Linked DNA regions of Macaca fascicularis. The protein of the gene in region 4 interacts with the protein of the main gene of each other region in a pairwise test. Links are inferred from orthologs where the notes say so. Each region holds a gene or a part of one and is shown on either strand. Other genes may lie near its edges.

The links.
Region 1: the proteins of ZNF446 (region 4) and PGBD1 interact in binary tests that used the Homo sapiens proteins (3 or more experiments, as listed by UniProt). The two-hybrid records come from large-scale screens. The link is inferred for Macaca fascicularis from reciprocal best matches to the Homo sapiens genes ZNF446 and PGBD1.
Region 2: the proteins of ZNF446 (region 4) and ZNF24 interact in binary tests that used the Homo sapiens proteins (3 or more experiments, as listed by UniProt). The link is inferred for Macaca fascicularis from reciprocal best matches to the Homo sapiens genes ZNF446 and ZNF24.
Region 3: the proteins of ZNF446 (region 4) and ZSCAN9 interact in binary tests that used the Homo sapiens proteins (3 or more experiments, as listed by UniProt). The link is inferred for Macaca fascicularis from reciprocal best matches to the Homo sapiens genes ZNF446 and ZSCAN9.
Region 5: the proteins of ZNF446 (region 4) and ZNF496 interact in binary tests that used the Homo sapiens proteins (3 or more experiments, as listed by UniProt). The two-hybrid records come from large-scale screens. The link is inferred for Macaca fascicularis from reciprocal best matches to the Homo sapiens genes ZNF446 and ZNF496.

What each region holds. Positions count from the first base shown.
Region 1 is NC_088378.1:144,899,103-144,904,061, forward strand, and holds the start of PGBD1 (piggyBac transposable element-derived protein 1), read right to left. Parts: upstream 3,092-4,959; 5' UTR 2,672-3,091; intron 835-2,671; exon of another isoform or gene 815-834; 5' UTR 776-814; coding exon 380-775; intron 1-379.
Region 2 is NC_088392.1:54,500,713-54,505,620, reverse strand, and holds the start of ZNF24 (zinc finger protein 24), read right to left. Parts: upstream 3,377-4,908; 5' UTR 3,280-3,376; exon of another isoform or gene 2,675-3,279; intron 1,388-2,674; exon of another isoform or gene 338-1,387; 5' UTR 255-337; coding exon 1-254. UniProt on the Homo sapiens protein: Transcription factor required for myelination of differentiated oligodendrocytes. Required for the conversion of oligodendrocytes from the premyelinating to the myelinating state.
Region 3 is NC_088378.1:144,968,119-144,971,161, reverse strand, and holds the end of ZSCAN9 (zinc finger and SCAN domain-containing protein 9), read left to right. Parts: intron 1-1,254; coding exon 1,255-1,871; 3' UTR 1,872-2,190; downstream 2,191-3,043. UniProt on the Homo sapiens protein: May be involved in transcriptional regulation.
Region 4 is NC_088393.1:66,203,796-66,208,633, reverse strand, and holds the start of ZNF446 (zinc finger protein 446), read right to left. Parts: upstream 3,157-4,838; 5' UTR 3,086-3,156; exon of another isoform or gene 1,701-3,085; 5' UTR 1,661-1,700; coding exon 1,319-1,660; exon of another isoform or gene 1,243-1,318; coding exon 1,053-1,242; exon of another isoform or gene 793-1,052; coding exon 698-792; exon of another isoform or gene 1-697. UniProt on the Homo sapiens protein: May be involved in transcriptional regulation.
Region 5 is NC_088375.1:1,752,530-1,757,307, reverse strand, and holds the start of ZNF496 (zinc finger protein 496), read right to left. Parts: upstream 2,969-4,778; 5' UTR 2,888-2,968; intron 2,746-2,887; 5' UTR 2,530-2,745; intron 1,169-2,529; 5' UTR 1,055-1,168; intron 706-1,054; 5' UTR 669-705; coding exon 279-668; intron 1-278. UniProt on the Homo sapiens protein: DNA-binding transcription factor that can both act as an activator and a repressor.

The DNA.
Region 1 (4,959 bases), on a different chromosome or scaffold from region 4:
TCAAGACCGCAATGAGGCTATGATTGTACCACTGCACTCCAGCCTGGGCAACAGTGAGGTAAAGGGATATAGTGTTTGCAACTAACTCTCAAATGGTTTGAGGAAAAAAAAAATACTGTATGTGTGTATGTATGTATGTGCGTGTATACATGTACATATGCATATTGGGGGAGATGCACTTCCTTGCACAAGTGTGTACACAACAATGGGACTTCATGAAACAGATGTTAACTGGCAAATCTGGATGAAGTTTACAGGAGTTCTTTATTCTTCTAATACTTCTATAAATTAGAAGTTATTTCAAAATAAAAAGCTAAACATCAACTGATACATGTCCCCCTGTTCTTCTCCCGCACCACCACACACATTTTCTTCCCACCTGTTGTCCTGTGTCTCCACTTCCTGTCTCCAGATTCTCCAGCACGGTCACTGCCTCCTCTCCACTCTCCAGAAGATATGTCTTCACACAGGGCTGGAGCTCCTTGGGCAGGATGGTCAGGAACTGCTCCAGCACCAGCAGTTCCATTATCTGTTCCTTGGTGTGCATCTCGGGTCTCAGCCATTGATGACAAAGTTCTCGGAGTTGGGCCAGAGCTTCCCGGGGTCCATGAGCCTCCTGGTAGCAGAACTGCCGAAAGCGCAGGCGGTAAATCTCCTGAGTGTAGGAGCTGCTCTCCTGTGAGTTGCACACCTGCTCCCAGGTGGGATCTTCCTCCTTCACTTTCACAAGGCCATCTTCATTTTCAGGAGCAGGGCCTGGCAAAGCTTCATACATGTTGAGTTTAGAGGCTAAAGCTTCACTTAGCTTGGGGGTCTGTGTTCAGAAATAGAGATCTGAGGCATAAGAATTGATCAGCAACACACAAATTCTAAGACCTTCAAAACTGTATGTAATCTACTTATATTTTTGTACCCACTGTAGGTAGTGCTCAAAAGCTGAGCCTGCTTCCTTCTATTTCTCAGTGAAATGAATCAGAAGTATGTTTTGAACTAGTACTAAAGGGTCTGAGTCCAGAGGTAAGGGATGTAGGATATGAGGGAAGAAGCGTTAGCAATAAGAATGCTCAAGAAGCTTGCACTTTAGCTGGGGAGAAGGGATCATTTTACCCATTGAGGAGGCAGATGGCTGCCTTCATGGGCAAATAATACAGTCTCAAAGGTCATCTATATCTGTGTAACTCTCACTGAATATTCCGCTTTAAATGTAGGTGTAATAGACTGCTTCCAAAGTCTCCCATCCTCAAATACCTTTTGTGATGAGATTTTGCCACTGTTCTCATCAAGGGGTGGAGTCTATTTTTCCTTCCCTTGAATCTGTTCTGGCCTATGACTTGCTTTGACCAATGGAATACGGCAGAAATGACATTGTAAGAGAGAGAGTGCTGCTGTAGCTCTTGGTTCACTGCCATAAGACTGCCATGCTGTGAGAGGCCCAAGCTAGCTAGACAGAGGTCATGTGGATGAGAACCAAAATGACCAAGCTAAAACCCAGCCGGGCCTAGTGCTCAAATAATTCACCAGCGGAATGCAGCTCTATTAGTAACTCCAGGTGAGACCAGTAGAACTACCCAGTCAACCTGCAGAATCCTGAGGAACAATAAGCTGAGCTTGTTTTCAGCCACTAAGTTTAGAGTTTGATTTTTGATGCAACAACACATAACTGAAACAGTAGAAATGCATCAAGTTCTTTTCTTCCCTCTCTTCATTTTTTCCTTTGTGATCTCCTTAGTCACACTTTCAATATATCTCTGTTCCCAAGAAGACTCAAATCTTTGGCTCCAGCTTGCTTTTTGCACTCCAAACCCACATCTTGAAATGCCAGCAGCTGTGGGCTTCTCCTGCACTATAATTTCAACAGATCTCAAACTAAGATCAGAGTTCCTCAAAGCTGCATTCACTCCGTATTTCTCCATTTCTACTGGCATCACCATCATCTTCCATGCATTCAGTCTTTTAAACAGCCTCTATATACAATCAGTGAATCAAGTCAATTCTTAAAAATGCCTCTTGCAGCCATTCTTTCCTTATTATTTTACTATCATTTTCATTCACTGTCACAATAATGTTATGGTATTCCTGCCCAATTCCCCGCTTCTATGGTCACTGGATTAATATTCCCTAAAGCACAATTCTGACCATATTCAACATACCTTACACACACATAAACACATACAAAGTTTTCATTAAACTCGTTGAAGTAAACTCAAACTCTCCAGGATCTAATCTTTACTGGATTTTGCTGATTTGTTTGTCACTCAATAAACATTTGTGGAGCATCTCATTGTTTTCCAGGCATAAAGCTAACTCTGGAATAAAAGACTTAGTTCCTACTTTCAAGAAAGCCATGGTCTTCCCAAATTCCTTATCTCACTGCCATGCTAAGTACTCAATTTTTTTTCCACCCACTCTATACAGTCAGGACCCCCCTTCTAAGGGTAAAATCCCAAGGGCCAGCGCAAATGTTCTATGTGAAACCTTCCCTGGCCACCCCTAACCCTAACATATAGACAGGAAAAGTAAGCCACACAGATAGAGATGGGTGTTCCCATGGAAAACTGCTCCCAACCTTCATCTCCTCCATCTCGTATTACAGATCACCCAGCCCATCCCCACCCGGGTTCTTGAGGACAGGAGTTTATCTCTGCATAGACTCTACAAGCCCGGCACGTACCTGGTATTCAACAAATACTGATGGACTTCTTCACGAATGCACGTAAAGCACCTGAGATGCCAGCAGCCAGCACCCTCAGGCGCACCCCAGAATGTATTTTTCTGAGATTACACCCAGCATCTAGCACCGCGCCAGGCACTGAATACCTGCGTGTCTAATTGTTGGTTAATGGACCAAAAGTTCAGGAACGCGCACAACAAAGACGTAGCCGACCTCGTGAAAGGCTCCCGAGGGAGCGCAGAGGCCCGGGGCTGCCCAGTCGAGAGCGCCGGTTTCCCCAGAGCCCAAGCCGTGCTACTGGCGGGCTGGCGGGGCTGATGGGTGTCGCCGGCGCCTCCGGCAGCTGGGCCAGCACAAAAGCTTCTCCACTCGCCGCGCCCGCAGCCGAGTGGCGGAGTCTGGCGGGTTCCTTGCCTCTCTAGGAGCACGGCCGCTCGTCTCTCTGGTGATCCGGGAGGACCCCCACTGCCACCTCCCGCCCCGCCCAGGTCGCTCTCCGCTGCCGGACCTCAGGCCCATCCGGACGGTGCAAGCACGCCCCACATTTATGTACATCATTTCAATAAAAAACCAACAGAGTGGTAAATGTCTGTCTTCGGGGTCATCACTGGTTAGGAGGCGAAACAGATCAATTAAAAGACCATTATAGTAAGCTGTACAAATTATTTTAAGTATACATAATATACGTACAATAAAAAAGTCAAGTTGCAGAAGGACCATAAAACGAAAAATGTCCCACTCTTTAGAGTTAACCATTGTATTTTGTGCATATTTATCTAGGACACTACCTGTCACACAGTAGCATGTAATAAACATTTTGTTTAGTGAATAAGCATTTATACATTTAAAAACACTTATGGTATCATAATGTAATTTTGCACCTTAGCTCTTTTCGGTTAAGACAGCTTGGAGATCTTCACAGATCAGCTTATTCTTTAACAGCTAAGTAATATTGTATGGGTGTTCCATAATTTACTTAACTATCCTATTGATGCATACTTAGGTTATATTTTTTCTTTAAAAGCCATGCTAGAGGGAACATCATTCAATACCTTTACATTCTTTTAAGAATGTATTTCTAGGATAAATGCCACATATTAGAACTGATCAGCCAAAGGACATATGCATTTAAAATGTTGATATGCAAGTTCCCTATTTGATTTTTAAGGGCACTTCTGTTTAAGAGTAAAAGGAGACTTTAGTAGAAAAATCAGTAAAGGATATGAATGTTACTATACACAAAACAAGGTAAGTGACAAATTAACATGTGAAAAGATGTTCAATAGTAAAAATATAAAACACTCTTTTAAAAACAGACCCATTATTTATTCATTTACCCACTGAGTTTTGGCAATTATGAATAAAGCTGCTATAAACATCTGTTTATAAGAAAACAAGAAAAAAGAAAAAGAAAACAAGAAAAAAATGAAAAAAATGAGCTATCGAGGCATGAAAAGACATGGAGAAAATTTTAGTGCATACTAGAAAGTGAAAGAATCCAATCTGAAAAGCTACATATTGTACGATTTCAACAACAAGTTGAGTATCCCTTATCTGAAATGCTTGGGGCCAGAAGTGTTTCCAATTTCAGATTTTGGAATATATACATACATTATGAAATATCTTAGGGATGAGGCCCAAGTCTAAACATGAAATTCATTTGTTTCATATATACCTTACTCACATAGAGCTAATTTTATACAGTTTAAATAATTCTGTACATGAAACAAAGTCTTTTTTTTGAGATTGAGTCTTGCTCTGTTGCCCAGACTGGAGTGCAGAGGCACAATTTTGACTCACCGCAATCTCCGCCTCCGGGGTTCAAGCAATTCTCGTGCCTCAGCCTCCCGAGCAGCTGGGACTACGGGTGCGTGCCACCACACCCGGCTAATTTTTATATTTTTAGCAAAGATGGGGTTTAGCCATGTTGGCCAGGCTAGTCTCAAACACCTGACCTCAGGTGAGGAGCCTTGGCCTCCCAAAGTGCTGGAATTACGGGCTTGAGCCGCTGTGCCTGGCCGAAACAGTTTTGACTGCATTTTGTCTATGACCTGTCACATGAGGTCAGGTGTGAAATTTTGCACTTGTGGCATCATATTGGTGCTGAAAAGTTTCACATTGTAATGTGTTTTGGATTTTCAGATTGGGGTACTCCACCTGTATACATGACATCCTGGAAAAGGCAACACTATAAAGACTGTAGAAAGGTCAGTGGTTGCTAGGGACTGGAGAAAGGGAGGGATGCATAATAGGTAAGACAGAGAGGATTTTTAGGGCAATGAAACTAC
Region 2 (4,908 bases), on a different chromosome or scaffold from region 4:
GTCTCTGGCCTGAGCCACAGACGGCAAAGTTCTCGGAGCTGGCTCACAGCCTCACGGGGCCCAGGTGAATCCTGGTATCCAAACTGCCTGAATCGCTGTCGGAAAATCTCTGGGTCTGGGAGATGGTTCCAGGGGATACTTGATCCCTCTTCGCCATCAGGATCCTCCTCCAACTTCACTCTCAGAATTTTTTCCTCTTCATCTGGAGTTGGGATGATAAGTATTGAATCTTCTTCCACTGACTGTGCAGACATTCTGATTTATAATATTTCAAGAAAATACAACTGAGGCAGAATATAAGCCTCAGGGCAATACCCCGTTTTCTTCACAGGCACTCCTGAGGCACAAGAAATAAAAGATATATAAATAAGCAAAAATATCCTAAGAATTTGGACTTACACTGGTAAAAGTAAAAGATACTTGTTCTTTGATGGAGTTAAAAATTCCAGTCAATAACCTACACTAGGAATTGGCAAACTACAGCTTCGCGGCCAAATCTAGCCTGTCACCCATTGCTGTACAACTCTTGCACCAATAATAATTTTCACATTTTTAAATGGCTGTGGTCTTCACCACAGTGCCTTAGGGAATGGAGCTCTCTAAAATCAAATGAATACCTAATGATATTTAGGGAATGGAGCTCCCCAAAGTCAAATGAATACCTCATGACAAGTGAAAATGATACGAAATTAACATGAATGTGTCCATAAAAAATTGTACTTACTCATACTTCACGCTACAATAGCAGAGTTGAGTAGTTTCAACAGACTAGATGGCCTAAAAAAAACCCAACACAGTCATGCACTACAAAATGATGTTTGGAGGCCGGGCGCGGTGGCTCAAGCCTGTAATCCCAGCACTTTGAGAGGCCGAGACGGGCGGATCACAAGGTCAGGAGATCGAGGCCATCCTGGCTAACACGGTGAAACTCCGTCTTTACTAAAAAATACAAAAAACTAGCCGGGCGAGGTGGCGGGCCCCTGTAGTCCCAGCTACTTGGGAGGCTGAGGCAGGAGAATGGCGGGAACCCGGGAGGCGGAGCTTGCAGTGAGCTGAGATCCGGCCACAGCACTCCAGCCTGGGCGACAGAGTGAGACTCAGTCTCAAAAAAAAAAAAAAACAAACAAAAAAATGATGTTTGGGTCAATGAAGGACCGGTCAATGAAGGACCACATAGATGACAGTGCTCTCATAAGATTATAATGGAGCTGAACAATTCAAGATTCACCTAGTGACACTGTAGCTGTTGTAAGGTTAATGCATTATTCACATGTTTGTGGTGATGGTGGTGTAAACAAACCTGTTGTGTTGCCAGTTTAACACATACAGTTATGTATGGTACATAAAACTTGATAACAACAATAAACGACTATGTTACTTGTTTATGTATTTACTATACTTTTCATACTATACATTTTAGAGTGTGCTCCTTCTACTTATTAAAAAAAAAGTTAACTGCAAAATGGCCTCAGGCAGGTCCTTCAGGAGCTATTATAGAAGGCACTGTTATCACAGAGATGACAGCTCCATGCACGTTACTGCTACTGAAAACCTTCCAGTGGGACAAGATAGGGAGGCAGAAGGCAATGATATTGATAATCCAGACCCTGTGTAAGCCTAAGCTAATGCATGTGTTTGTCTTAGTTTTTAACAAAAAAAGTTCCAAAAGGAAAAAAAAATAAAAACTGGCTAGGTGCAGTGGTTCACATCTGTAATCCCAGCACTATAGGAGGCTGAGGCAGGAGGATCACTAAAGACCAGGAGTTCAAGGCTCCACTGAGCTATGATCGCACCACTGCATTCCAGCCTGGGCAACAGAGTGAGACCCTGTCTCTAAAAAATGAATTTAAAAATAGCAAAAAGCTGGGCCTGGCGCAGTGGCTCACACCTGTAATCCCAGCACTTTGGGAGGCTGAGGCGGACGGATCACGAGGTCAAGAGATCGAGACTATCCTGGCCAACATAGTGAAACCCTGTTTCAACCAAAACGAAGGTTTGCTTTATTATTATGTGCTTAAAAAAATTTTACCACTTAAAAAATAAGGTATTTAAGAACTCCTTGGACTTAAAATATATGTGGAAAAAATGTTCACTTGCTGAGTAACAGATCACATAATATTGAAAAGATCATATGTGAAAAACAGATCACATATTTTGAAAAATTATCTTGCACATAATACGTAAATATTCAGTCTTCCACCACACCATACGTACATTTATATTTATAATGATAGGCATTAATCACAGAAAATTCTATTAAGAAAAGGCACTCGCATTAGCACCTTAACTTCTTGCAGTGGTCCAGTGTCTTGTCCTTACACTGGATGACTCACAGTTTCCCCAGTTCTACCTTCAGGGAAACTGTATGCTGTTTCTGGACCTTTATTATTTGCACTATCATGCCCGTGCTGTTGTTTACGACACATACTAGCAATGAGCCATGCAGCCTATGAACAACAACTTAAAAAAACTTATCGTAACCCAAGCAAGATGAAGACTGGAATCAGAAAAGGCCTTATCAGACAAGTAATACATACTGGTTTAATTAAATACCCTGGAGTGTGGTGGCCTTATAAATAAGGTCTAGCCAACATTGATTTGTGCCTATTCCAAGACCCTGCTTATCAACGGTGCAACTATTTCTACATATATTTCTCTTCCTTTCATGCTGTAGAGCATACTGCTTGTGGGAAATGGAGGGAAGGCCAACGGTCCCGACAATGTTTGGTCAGAGCACCTCGTTCCAGGTGATCGCCCACCTTACTGCTGCATAGACCTGCTGTGTACCCCGATCCCGGCCAGTCCTCTAGCCCCTCTTCCCAGCACTCAGGACAGCGGATTTCACATGACCAAAGACCACCCTGTGACAACAGCGTCGGAACCACGGCACTTCCGCCTGCGGCCGGTGGGACTACAAATCCCAACAGCCCCGCGCAAGTCTCGCCCCATACCACCTCCTCCCAACACGACTCCCAGAACCCTCCGCGAGACGCCAGGGCCTCGAAATAGAACAAAACCGGCCGGTGGGGGAGGGGGAAGGTGAGGGTCTCGGAGGACACCGGGGGTTAGAGAGCACTCTGCAGACGCCGAAGACCCAAGCAAGCCTGCCGCCTACCTCTCCCCGCCCCACAACTGCTAGGCGCGGAGAGCGCGGCCTATTCCCCGCGCCTCCCGGGAAGCTGAGGAAGGTCCCGGGAAGGCTTCCCCGCCGACTCCTGCTAAGAGGTCCGCAGACCCTAGCCCGGTGTCCCCCTCCCTCCCATAACGTTCCCCGCACACCGGCGCAAACCTCTGGCTCAGGAACCGCAGCAGCTTCGCTGTCCACGGCAGACGCAGAAACACCGTTCACAAGCCTTTTCCCAGAAGCCCCCGGCACGGGCTGCTTCCGGTCTGCGGGCCTGAGGAGGCGGGGAGAGGTAAAGCCCACGTTGCCATGGAGAAGCTCCCCGGGCGGGGGAGGGGCGGCCCCACGACAATGACCGCATTGAGGCTGCGCTTGGCCTCGCGCCTCGAACAGCCTAGCGTCCTCTGGACCGTTTAAAAGAAAAGTAGAGGACTCTACCATTAAGATAGTCCTTACAGTTTCGCAAGCCCTTTCACGTGCATTATCTTGTGGATCCTCTAAGTAATTCCCTGCAAGAAGGAATAAAAGCGAGTATTTGTGAAAGCTTACTACATTGTGCCAGGCGCTCTCGTCGTGCTTTACATGTCATTTATTTTTTCACAAATAAATGATGTAGGAACTTTCATTATCCCCATTTCACAGCTGAGATAGTTGAGGCACAAATACAGTAAGTAACTTGACAAGAGCTCACAACTCATTTGTGGGTAGCAAGATTTGAAACCAAGACGTGATTCAAATCTTTGGCTCCCACTAGTTATGTCACGGAGCTTTATTCTGACCTATTTGTCAGGAAAACTAGATGAGACAGGTTAAGGGTTTTGGCAACGATGTCACGGTGAATTTGTAGAATGCATGGTCATCTTCAAGCTGGGCATTTTATACCATAAAACAGCTGCTGACGCAATCATTTATTACAAATCAGACCACTTCACTCCCCTATTTAAAGCCCTCCAATTTATGCCATAATAATTTATGACATAAAAACTCCTTATAATGTCTTGTAAGTCCCCCATGGTCTGTTGCCTGCCCGCACCCCCAGACCCTGGCGCCCCCAGTCACCTCAGCTCTTCAGCTCCGTGTGGCCCAAGATCCTCAGCCTCACCGCCAGCCTTTCATGACACATGACCCTTCATGGCACTATTATTAATGGAAGTGATCTCATTTATTTACTTGTTTTTTGTTTTGTTTTGCCTTTAAGTCCCTTAAGGGCAGGGACCTTGACTGTCTTGTTCACCACAGCATCCCAGCCTAGACCCCGGAAGCTGACTGCCTGGTAAATAGAGAACACAATAAATGTTTGTTGAATAAATAAATGAATTGTGGGATGGTTACATCGCTGCCTTTAGTTAGGTCACATGATTGGCATCAGACACCACACAAAGGAGCCCTGTTGTTTAAGGACTGGTCAAAAGTGTAGATCCAACCTAACATAAGCATTTCAAGTTCCTCAGGCTTTGACTTTTTGCCTCATTCGGGAAAATGCCCTCTGCAAAGTGCCGTCAGGCTCTGCTGGGTTCGTGCATGAAGACAGCAAGTAAGCCAGCAGCTGATGGTATACCATTGCTTTTCACTCCGACCAGAGCCTTTCTCACAACCCGTGCTAACACTTCTCTCTTCATTGCAGGAAGCTTCAGAAATCCAGCCTTTTCACTCTGCTACTTGGATACGGCCCCCAAGCAGCTTGGCTGCTCTTCCCAACTTTTCCCTCTTTTCTGATTCATAAAGGCTAGCTGAAGTCATTTTTGTTTTATGAGTTTTTACATCTAATTAGTGTTGGAAAACAA
Region 3 (3,043 bases), on a different chromosome or scaffold from region 4:
TACAGAGCGGATATGCTGGACAAAAGGAGGACTCAATGTCCTGGGTGAGACAGAGCCAGATGGCATGAGATTTCATCATACTAGTCAGAATGGTGCCAAATTTAAAACTTAAGAATTGTTTGTGCCAGGCGCGGTGGCTCACGCCTGTAGTGCCAGCACTTTGGGAGGCCAAGGCAGATGGATCATGAGGCCAGGAGTTCAAGACCAGCCTGGCCAGCATGGTGAAATCTCATCTCTACTAAAAATACAAAAAAAAAAATTAGCCGGGCATGGTGGCATGTGCCTGTATTCCCAGCTACTCAGGAGGCTGAGGCAGGAGAATCGCTTGAACCCAGGAAGCGGAGGTTGCAGTGAGCCAAGATCACACCACTGCACTGCAGCCTGGGCGACAGTGAGGCTTCATCTCAAAAAAAAAAAAAAAAAAAAAAAGAATTGTTTGCTTCTGGAATCTTCCATTTAGTATATGTGAACTGTGGTTGACTGTGGGTAGCTGAAACTTTGTAGGGTAAAACCACAGATAAGTGGGGACTACTGTGCTGCCTGAAGCACCTAGAATAGTAGAAGTTTAATACTTGTTCTGAAAATGAATGAATGAATACATTAAGTAACTTTCCTTGGAAAGGGTCACTTTGAGGTTATCTCAGAAAGGAGAGAGAGGTCTAAGGGAAGACTCCAGAGAAGCCACCCTGATCTTTACCCATCCCTCCCCATGAAAAAGTATAAAAAAATACTGCCAACTGGGTGCAGTGGCTCATGCCTTTAATTCCAGCATTTTGGGAGGCCGAGGTGGGTGGACCACCTGAGGTCAGGAGTTCGAGACCAGGATATCCAACATGGCAAAACCCCGTCTATACTAAAAGTACAAAATTAGTTGGGCATGGGGGTGCGTGCCTGTAGTTTCAACTACTTGGGAGGCTGAGGCAGGAGAATCACTTGAACCCGGGAAGTGGAGGCCACAGTGAGCTGAGATCACACCATTGCACTCCAGCCTGGGCTCCACAGCAACACTCTGTCTCAAAAAAACAAAACAAAACAAAAAAACAACTCCCCAGTTGAAGTCTACGTGGGGATGGACTGACCTGCATTTTGCCAAAGAGGGCAAACTTTCCTCCTTACCTAGGGGAAGGTGTTACCACACTAGCCCTTCTGTTTCTAGCCCACTTGCTTTCGTTTGATATATTTTTATAGACATAGTCACCTTCCCATATGCTCAGGGAACAAGTGACATTTACCTAGACTTTTTCTTTGTTTCAGATGAAATAACCAAGACTGAGGACATACAGTTGGTGCTAAGGAAAGACTGTCCTAAGATAGTGGAACCACATGGGAAAATGTTTAATGAGCAGACCTGGGAGCTATCACAGCAGGATCCCCCACATAGAGAAGTTGGTGAACATACGGACAGGATAGAGAGGCAGTGGGGAAACCTCTTAGGAGAGGGGCAACACAAATGTGATGAATGTGGGAAGAGCTTTACTCAGAGCTCAGGTCTCATTCGACATCAAAGAATTCACACTGGAGAAAGACCTTATGAATGTAATGAGTGTGGGAAAGCCTTCAGTCGAAGTTCTGGTCTTTTTAATCACCGAGGAATCCACAATATACAGAAACGGTATCACTGTAAGGAGTGTGGGAAGGCCTTCAGTCAGAGTGCAGGTCTTATCCAGCATCAGAGAATCCACAAAGGAGAAAAGCCGTATCAGTGCAGCCAGTGCAGTAAGAGCTACAGTCGGCGTTCATTTCTCATTGAACATCAGAGAAGCCACACAGGGGAGCGACCTCACCAGTGCATTGAATGTGGGAAAAGCTTTAATCGACACTGCAACCTCATTCGCCATCAGAAGATCCACACACTGGCTGAGCTGGTCTAGGGCTTGCTATGAGCAAGTTTTCCAGATCACCAGCCAAGTCATGTGGGGTAGCTTGAGGTTAGAAAATGCCTCTCTCTTCCTTTCTCCATTAAGTGTGTTTGAAACAAATAATGACTTACGGCCCAGGGACTTCCTAAAAGGAAAGTTGGGTGTTTGAAGCTACTGTTTTCCCTTTTGTTCATTTTACCTCTTTCTTATTCTTACTAATTGTGTCCCTCTTATTTATTATTTATTTATTTATTTATTTATTTTTTGAGACGGCTGCTAAACCCTTCTAATAATATAATAAATGGCACTGCTAGAGCCAGCATGCCTGAAAGATTTGGTGTCTGTGTTTAACTACAAAGGATAACAGAGTTATACTGATGGTTTATAACAATTGGGTCTTTGGTGTTCCCCGTGACCAGGGTCTACACTATAAACACCTTTTCCACCTTACTGCTTCTCTCTGATACCTATGTGACTCTCCCTTGGAAAGTGACCAGCATGGGCTGTGTGTTTCAGTGTCTGCAGTGTGTGTCCACTTACTTAACCATAGTTGGTCCTCACAACAGCCATACAGGGAAATGAGCGTTATCATTATCCCATTTTACAGGTGAGGACTCTAAGGCTCAGAAAATCCAGGCATCAGAGCCAAGGCTGAAACCCTGAACTTTTGTTTTTAGTAATGCTTTAATTTTGGAATAATTTTAGACTTACAGAAATGTTGCAAAGATAGAGTTCTCATATTCCCTTCACCTAGATTCCCCTAACGTTAACTTAAAACATCGCATCTTTTTAGTTAAACCTTGTCTTTTAACTCCAAATCTCAATTTCTTTACGAAGTCATGCTTCATACTGATATCAGATTTCTACATTTTAGTCACCTGGAACTCCCTCAGAGTTTTTCTATCACAACTTCAGTGTTAGAAAGTGATCTGTATCCTGAGTACCAGGCCACATCAGAGAACTGGATTAATGCAGATAAGATGCTAGCTACTGTCCGAAATGTCCTCAGTCTTTCTCTTCTGTTTGCTTGGCTTAGGTCTAGAGAAAAAAATTTCTTCCCTGTGTAGATCTTTAAGAAAATCGATTGTACGTGAGGCGTGGTGGTACAAGCCTATAATCCCAGAGCTTTCGGAGGCCAAGGCAGCAGTATTGCTTGAGGCCAGGAGTTCGAGACCAGTCTATGC
Region 4 (4,838 bases):
GTCTCAGGTGTGGGGGAGTCCTGCCACAGCTGGTCATCTTGTCCCCTCCCCAGCTACACGCAAACGTTCAAATCCCCAGGTTCTGGCTCAGGACCTCTGGGAGCAGCAAACCTCCCACCTGATTTCTCCGGAGGTGAGGAAGCCAAGCCCACCAGTTCCAGCCACTCTAAACTGCATTTTCATGGCTTGAGGCCCAAATCCTTTTTTTTTTTTGTTTTTGACACACAGTTTTGCTCTTGTTGCCCAGGCTGGAGCGCAGTGGTGCAATCTCGGCTCACTGCAATCTCTGCCTCCTGGGTTCAAGCGATTGTTCTGCCTCATCTTCCCTAGAAGCTGGGATTACAGGCGCCTGCCACCACTTCTGGCTAATTTTTGTATTTTTAGTAGAGATGAGGTTTCACCATGTTGGCCAGGCTGGCCTCAAACTCCTGACCTCAGGTGATCCACCCACCTCGGCCTCCCAAAGTGCTAAGATTACAGGTGTGAGCCACCATGTCCAGCCTCAAATCCTTTTCAATAATAGATCACCAGTCTGTCCCTCTGCCCCAGGGCCTGTGGAGGGGTACAGCTGTTACTCCACTTCTGGGCAGCAAAGAGTCACTAGCCAAGGAGCCTGGAAAACCACCAGGCAGAGGGCAGCCATGGGGACACTCCCTTCCCACACCTGGGGCCTACGCTTCCCACCTGGAGCGCTCACCTGAATCCTGGGAGGGTGGAAGGATGTGGAGGCTGCTGCTTGGTGTCCATGGTGCCCCTCAGGGGACTGCACTGCAAGTGGAGGGCTGGAGGGTGCTGAAAAGTGGGGCAGATGGAAAGGTGGTGTCAGGGGCTGCCCACATGAGCCATGGCAGACAAGGAAATCCTCTGCTGTGTGACATGGCACGTAGCCAGCCCTTGGCTCCTGCCTCCCAGGGCCCCATCCCAGACAGGGACATCCACATTCATTTCAGGAGTCCCGGCCTTGACACAACCTCTCCTGGGACTCCCACCCTAGCCAGGAGTGTCCACGCTTCCTCCAGGAACCTTCCATCCCGGGTGGACCCCAATCTCACCCATTTCCTGTCCATCGACATTGGGCTCCTCCTTCACACTGCAGCTGAGCTGGACAGACCCCTCTATTCTGGTGTCCTGGGGACCCTCTCCAGGGGACTCCACTGTCCCTGAGGGGTGGGGGCTCCCCAATGGTTCCTCTGTTTTCTGAGCTGCAGGGAGCACCTCCTGCTTCAGGATGTGGGCTGTGATCTGAGGAGAAGAAATAAGTCAAAAGGGTTCTAGCCAGGGTCTATCCCTCCAAGAAGCTGATGCCAGCCACACTCACCCAGCCCAACAGTTGCCCAGGGTCATGCTGTAGTCCTTCGACTAGGGCAGCGGCCTCCTCAGGACTGCCTGGCCGCTGACCGCGCACCCAGGCCTGGATCTCGGGAGGCAGTGTGCCCAGAAACTGCTCCAGCACCAGCATCTCCAGCATCTGCTCCTTGGAGTGTGCCTCAGGCTGCAGCCACTGGCGACACAGCTCACGCAGCCGGGCCAGGGCTTCTCGGGGACCTGCCACCTCCTGGTAGCGGAACCCTCGGAAGCGGAGGCGGGCAGTCTCAGGCTCCTCGAGGGCAGTCTCTGGGTCCATGAGGGGCAGGCATGGGGGACCCAGAGGGGATGGCATTTTTGCTCAAGGGGGTGGTCTTGGAATCGTCAAGATGGGCCTAAAGAAAAGGAAGGGTCAGAATGTCAGCCAAGAGAATCTGGCCAGGGAAAGGCAGACACCAGGCCCCGCCCAGGGAGCTGAGACCAGGACCAAGTGTACTCTGAGGCCAGAGGAGGTAAAGCCAAGAAAGCGTCATGGAAGGAGGAGGGTCACGGGAGCTAAACAATGATGGCAAATGAGGGCAGGAGGAAGTCTCGGGGACAAATGCTTGGACGCAAGGTGTCCAAGGAGCTTCCCGGAAATTGCAAACAGGTCCAATAGGTGACTGCTGGAAGATGACGGTAAAGAGGTGGAGAAGAACAGTCATCAGAGTTCCAGGGCCAGGCTGAGGAGCCACAGACAGTGCCTAGCCGAGGTGGGAGGAGAGTGGTCCAGGGAGGCAGGGGCTAGAAGGTGGAGCCAGGCTGTAAAGTATGGGGGCAAGTCTCCCTCCACAATCTCGGGGATGTTGACTGGGTGGGACCTCCCTTAGGACTGGCTCTGGGGAGGGGTCACGTGGGGCGTATGGGGCAAGGCAAGGGCCGATGTGGACACCGTGCTCGCTGACCACAGCGAACCGTGGATGACTCACACTGCCGGGACCCGTGCATGTAAAAACGAAAGGCAAACGCCAAGAAAAACGGGGCCAACGTTCCACGTTGCGTGAGTCGAGGGATGGCCACAGCATCCCGGCCCTGAAGGTCTGGAGTGAAACACGCCCACCTGGACTGGCCTGAGAGACCAGGCCTGATACCCGGCCTATCCGAGGGATGCTCGAACTTCGGGGTCTGTTTCCCAAAGGGGAAGGCAAGAGGGAGGTGTTCCAAGAGGACGTGCCCGGGCCGGCCCCCCGGAGCGGTGTTGAGGGGGAGGAAAGGCCCGTGTGAAGGCTGAGCCAACGCGCGGGGCCTGTCGGGAGGTGGGCGGGCCCCCAGGGCGCCGAGAGCAGGAGCTGTGCGGGCCCGAGGGCGGCCCCAAACCCTCCCACGGGGTGGAACGGCTGCGCCGCCTCTGGAAGCCTGCGCTCACCTCTACCCCGGAGCCGTTGCTGGGAGGCCGCTTCCCGGAAGCGGCGCCGCGCAACGCGGGGAGCCTTAGCCGGGAGTTGCCCCGGCGACGCCGCGCCGACCAATCTCTCGCCTGCACCGAAGGCACCACCCACGCCCTTTGAACTACGTTTCCCATGAGCGTCCGCAAGACAGGGGCGGCCGTGGCCCGCGGACTAGCATTTGCAGCAGCCGCTGACGCCTGAGAGGCGCTCTGTTCCTCTAGGAGGTGCCGCAGAGACCGCGTTATGTGGACTCCCTCCGCCCTGGGAGCAGCTCTCCCCATGCTGTAAACCCGCGCGTCTGTACAGTGCACCGGTTCCTATTGGCAGGTGAGGAGAGAGGCAGGAGGTTTTACCCAATCAGAGGGGGCGCTTGCTTGGCCCTCGCCGCTCCCACGCCATTTCCCGCGGGCAGCCCCCAGAAAACAGGGCATATCCGCCCGCCTCCAGCTGTTCCCATGGCAACCTTCAGGCGCGTTGCCTCGACTTCCGAAGAGGCTGGAAGTGGCGGCCCAGTGGTTTCCTGGGTCGAGTAGTTCGCTGGCGCTTGCTTCCAAGTGGTCCCGGGAGAGGCGGTGGTGTGGAAGACCACCCTGAGCCTGGGCTTTCTCCCGGCGGGAGGGTGCGAGGGCCGCCTTTGACCTGTTAAGCGCCCTGAGGAGGTACCGACGGTTGTGACCGCAGTCTCTGACGTCTTCAGATGTCAGTCCTACAAAGTTGGGGGCGGAAGTTTCCCTCCAGGCTGATGGGACGTGCTCAACTGTTTATTTCCCTTTTATTTAATTTGGGGAGCAGAACTAGACAGGGTGACACTAGTGTCTCCCAATAAGCAGTGTTAGTTTTCTGTATCTGTGGGGTCAGTTTTGCTTCCACACTTAAAGTGGCCGAGCCATGAATTATTCAGTCCTAAATTACACCGCCTGTTTTGGTTGCTTTGGATACCTGGGAATCCCTGCTGCCTGCTCCGGATGAAAAGCAATGGCCTTAATCGCTGATTGGAAGCACTGAGCATGTGCGTGGGTAAGACCTGTGAACTCGGAGCTTTCCAGAGGCGGCCTCAGGTTGTTTTTGGGGATGAGGTGCTTAGGTCTTTTTTCTGGGACTATGCGTAGTCTCAGAAAACAAAAAAACTTTCACCCTCCACCAGGTGGGGAGAGCAGTGGGGCGTTAAGGGCTTCTTCAGTAGCTGTTCCCCAGGCAGCTTTGTTATAGGTCTCCCGTCTCTGGGCTGCTGGTTCTCAGCCTTCTGCAGTTCTGGAGTCAGCCTGGTGGGAACTCTCTCCACTTCCCCATGCCGCCACGCAGTATTTGGCCTTCCCTAACGTAGTGACAGCTCTCATCCATGTCTAGCTTAGGCATGCCATTGCTCCTGACTCCTCTTTCACCATCCTCATACTTGTGGGTTTATGTGTTTTAAATACTCCCCTCTGGTTTCAGTGGATTTCTGAGCCCACTGAGATGCAGGTGTTCAGTCTGACCTTTTGACCTAGAAGCCCGGAGATACTTTTACAGTCACTACCTACTCAAAAGTAAGAGCAGAGAGGGAGGTTGGAGGGAGGTCAGCTGAGGGGCCAAGACCTGCGTGGAGGCGGGAGCCTAGGCTGGGGGCCACTGACCAGTCATGGGTTTGGGGAGGGGGAGATTGGAAGAGGGTGGACAAACTGAGGGACAACAGGGGCACAAGCAGATACGGAAAGGAGCCTGATGGAGGGAGGAGGCTGGTGGGAAGACAAGGTAGGGCACTGAGCCCAGCCTGAGGGGTCAGGCGGGCTCAGGGCAGAAACTTTGTTCAAGAAGCATCTATCAAAGGCACAGAAATGATTTCATGTAACTCTCTGGGTATATACTTGACAGATGCTTTTGCTCCTGACTCCCATGGGCTCCCCCAGAAAAGTGCTCTTTCAGGCAGGGAAGGGTTATTGTCTGCATTTCACAGCTCTGCAGACTTAGTGGGGGACAATGGTTCAGGGACCTACTGGGATTCTGGTGGCCCAAGTCTTGCAGGCTCCGGGGGCGCTGGGTCCTGTGTGTCTCCTCACAGGTGGAAGAATCTGGCCCCAATATCAAGTAAGTGGGGCCTGAGTCTGCTCTTTGTGTATAGGGCAGGAT
Region 5 (4,778 bases), on a different chromosome or scaffold from region 4:
CCATCTCTCCCTGGGCCTGGTGACCATCCACTCCACAGCTGCCCACCAAAGGCTCCACTTAGGCCTTGGACTGGGCCGTAAAGGGGCATGACACCATCATGCCCAAATTAGAGGCTTCAGGGAGTAAAACTGGCTTTCTCAGGAAACTCTAGTCTGGTCCTAACCAAAGTACACGGCTCTCAGTGGAATTCCTCATTCCCCGGCCAGTGCATGCATGGCCCAGTCAAAATGTCTAAGCACCAGATCTCTACCCGTCCAGCCCCACCCCTTCTACTCACCCACTGCCAGGGTCTCCCGGGCTCCCGTTCCAGTGCCTCCACCGCGGCCACAGCCTGCTCTCCGCTCTCAGGCTCCTGCGCCCGCACCCAGCTCTGGATCTCCCGGGGCAGGATGGCCAGGAACTGCTCTAGCACCAGCAGCTCCAGAATCTGCTCCTTGGTGTGCCTCTCAGGCCGCAGCCAGCCCCGGCACAGGTCCCAGAGGCGTTGCAGGGCCTCCCGGGGGCCCGCCGCCTCCTGGTAGCGGAAACGGCGGAAGAGGCGCCGAGAGGACTCGGGACTGGGAAGCTCCCCTTGGGGGCTAGGGTTCTCTCCAGGTGGGCTCCTCATTTTCCTGGGCTCCTCACTTTCCTTCGGAGCCAAGACTCGGGGGCACAGGGCTGTGGGCATGATGGGATTTGATGGGGGTCAGCAGCAGAAGACGACCCTATTTCCAAACAGAAATCACTGGCTTCAGTGTTCTGGTCTCCTGTGGTCATTTCTGGGGGACAGTGACAAGGAAACTGTCAATGCCCTCAGAGACCAGCCCTTTGGAGAAGCCCTGGGAAAGGTAGGGAGTGTCGGTGTGGCTGGTCTTTACACACAGAATGAAACAGACAAAAAGATACCCTCCCCCCATCAGTACCATTACGTGTGGACTCCCGTAAGCGGGTGACTGGATGAACAAGGCAGGAAATCTGGGAGAAAGTGGTGGCATTTCAACGTGACACTGGTGTTTTGAGCATCCCAGGAAACCAACAGCGCCACATGCAGATGTAATCAAGACTCTCTGGTACCTTAAGCGGCTGGGTCCTCCGGGAGACCCGAGATGGGCAGGCCAAGCAGGCCACTATATTGAAGCTCCGCAGCCGAAGTCACTGTTCTTGTTCTCAAGACCTTTACAAATAGAGCTGGAAAGACAAAGACAGACATGCATCGGATGAGCCTTCCAGCACATCCAGGAATGGAAAATCCATCCTGCTGGTGGCAGAGGGCTGATGGTGCTCAGTGCTGGATGGACAACCCAGCCAGAATCAGCTTTGCCCAACAGAGTCTGCAACGGGAGGCAGGGAAAATACCCAGACACAGGGAACATCACATGAGACAGCCACATGCAGTCCACGGGGGACAAATAACACTGCATTTAGAAATATCAGTGGTTTCCTATGAACCTTCTGCCAACACTTGCCTGACGTTCAACCTCGCCTCCACCCTCTTGTCTATCCTTGACCTCTTCAAACCACATTCAAGGCAACGGCACACCCGCGAAAGCCGTTCCTCGGCCAGGACAGGAGAGTGGGTCCGTCACGGCACAGCTCAGCCCTCAAAGAACCCCTGGACACTGCAGCTGCCACACCCTCAAGGTGGGCCTCAGGGGTCCCTCCACCTCCCCGCTGGTGTGCAGACAACTAGCCGACACATACAGGGTGGCAAAAGAGACCAGCAACCAGTATACCTGGCTGGTGTTCATGACTCCCACCCTAGAACACTGACCCGTGAAAGGGCACATGGGGACACTCACGGTGCCCTTCTCTGCCATCAGGCCTCTGTGATCCTTAGGACCGGCAGTGCCTGCCACTCCTCCATCTGCAGGAGGTTGTCCAGCGTGGCCGCGCCTTATCCTCCAACAGCTCACAAGGGGGACTCGGGCCTCACTCCCATTTCACAGGAAGACAAGTGATGCCAGAAAAGCTACGAAACAACTCAGTGGTTCCAGAAACACCCACTGCTCTGAATCTCCTTGCTTTCCAAAGTAACAACACATACAGAAACGCATATGGGGGCCGTGGAGGCGTCGGGCTGGACGCATTACAGGGCTCCCCACCACCGGATTCCCTTCCAGGGCGGCTCCGGCATCTGGAGCCCGGGGTGGGCCCCGCCCGCCCTGCTCGGCGGCCCCCTGCGGCGCCCATCACACACCTGCAGCGCCCAGGACTACTCAGGTCCGCCCCCCCGGAGCACCGGCGCCCACCCGGGCTGCCACTCGGATCGTCTCCAACCAGACGGCCCCGTCCGTCTTTGTCACGGCGGCACCTGGCGCGTCGGAGGCTCGGAGGAGACGCCTGATGAATGAACTAACGTGAGTGAGGCGGAGGAGGGCCCCGCAGGGGCGGAGCGAGCTCCCAGCCGTTCGCGGAGGAGGGACCGAGCCGGATCGGCAGAAGGGGAAGGAGAAGGTCGCTGCGGGCCAGGGAAGGGGGAGCGCGCCCTCCGCGCCCTCGGTCTCCCTCACACGCGCGTCTCCCGTCTCGCCGGCTCCGGGGCTCCTCACCTCACAGCCCGGAGCTCCCTCCCGGCGTCCGGCCGAAAGCCCTCCTGTGGCGGCGGAAGTCCAGGGCAGCCGTCCTCATCCTCCCGGCCCGCCCGGCCGGGCGTACTCGCTGAGGCGGCGTCTCCGCAGGCGCCCGGCTCCTTTCCCGGCCCGTCCAGACCGCGTCTCCCGATCATCCGGAACGCCACGGCTCGGCTCGGGGGCAAATGGAGGCGCCTGAAAAACAATGGTGTTGCTTTCTCCCCCGCCCGCACCTTCCTGAGCGCTGGGCTCTGGGCCGGGAGGCGGCGCCGCGGAGGCCGGGCGCGGGCCGAGGAGGGCGGGGCGGGGCCGGCCGCGGGAGCCGGGGTGCACTCACCGCCGCGACTCGTCCCTGTTGGCGGGCGGCGCAGGCCTGGCCACTGCCGGAGCCCGCCGGACGCCGAGGAAAGGAAAGGCCGGAGCCCTCCGGCTCCCTCCCCTGGGACACTTCCTGCTCCGCTCTAGGACCGGGGAGGTCTCCGCATCTCAGTGGTTCGCTCCCCCGCCCCCCGGCCGAGGTGTGCGCTGGGGGTGACATCCGACACCCCCGGCCCGCCCAGCTCCGCGCGCGCCTGGGCCTGGCCGCCGGGCCGGGGGCTTTGTGGGTCAGCCACGTCGCCGCGCCCGGTCCTCCCCGCGGGCCCGCCGGTCCGGAAAGTCAGCCCGGGGCTCTTTTCTCCGCTGTTCTCCTTCTCCGGCGCCCCCAGGACACGCGGGCCGGTGGACGCCCGGAACGGCCGACCGGGAGGCGCGGCTGGGATGGAAGCTGGAATTGGGGGTGCGGGATGGAGCGGAGGGAGGAGGCCCCGCGCGCCGTCGGCCGCCTCATTTCAGACGCCCCCTGCGAGCCCCCGCCAGCCGAATTCCGGGCCGCCCAGCCCCTCCCGTCGCTGCGGGACGCCAAAGGTAGCGCTCGCACCCGCGCCTTCCGGGCCTGGCGCCCACGTGCGGAGTCCCCGCGTTAGGAAAGGCCGCGCAGCCGGAGGCCACTCCGAGCCTCGGGACGACCCTGAGGGATGCGCAGGGGGTCTGCCGTGAGTCCTGGCCCTGAGTGGGGGTCACGGGGCTCGCAGAAGTGAACACGGTTACCGCTGTGCGCAGTGGCGGAGGGAGAGGATGAGGGACTCTGACCCAAGGTCATGTGGCAGTGAGGGGCAAGCAGGAATGAGGGCCTCCGGACCCCACCCTGAGACAGGGCTGCTGGCTGCTACACTGTGCTGAATATAGCCCAAATTCTGACATGGGTCGTCCCCGGGGAGTGGTCATTTTTCAGGCTCCAGAGCTTGAGAGAAAGTGTGAACCCGGTCCCTGGGCAGGCCTGATTCCCATGGCCCCTTCTCCATCTGCTCTGCACCGAAATTGGATTCTCCCACGCAGAAGGGGAGAAGGTTCTCCATCTTCCAGAGGGTAGCTACTGCCCGTTGCTCCGATTTCCTTAGGATCCCCTTTCAAGGGCAAGCAGAAGGAAATCGGTTTCCCCAGAGAAAGTGGCCCGGCTGAGTAAGTGGGGACAAGGTGGTTGGACTGAGGCACAGGATCCTTTAGCTCTGTTACTCTTCTAATCCCGTGGCCCTGGGCACCACCACTTCCTCCTCTGAACTGCTGGAATAATCACTTCTGAGTAGCAGAGTTACTGGGAGCCGCTGTTTGTCAATGTTCACATTCTGACTTTAGCAGGAGATGGACCAAGCGAAGGAGTGAAGCCCTTGTTTGTGAACAGTGATTGTTTCCCAGATGACAGCCAGATGCCCGGCAGGGCCACACAGATTTTAGCTGGAGCCTACAGGTGCAAGGAGGAGCCACCCCCTTTGACTTAACTGGACTGACATTTACAGGACTCATGTACAGCCTGCTCTCAGGAACACCAGCCAGGAACTGTGACATGGAGGAGAGGAAGTGGGAAGGCTGGTAGGGCTTAGGTGCTTTGGCAAACATCCTAGTCTGTGGGGTTCCAGAGCCCTGGTGCCACAGCTCCCAACCCTGTGACTGGCCCAGGAACTGGCTGTTGAGTGGGCATCTGTGTTCATAGCTCTGCCCCTTGCAACCCTAAAGCAGGTAAAATGCAGGAGGCAGAAATTGCTGGCAGACAGTATCCAGTTAATCCCCACTACCCAATTCAGTTTCTTCCCCTGACCTGACACGTCCCTGCCCAGTTGTGCCTCTCACTGTTCACCTTTTGAGGCACAAAGTGGGCTGTTTATGCTGCTTCTGCATTTAGCTCAAAACGG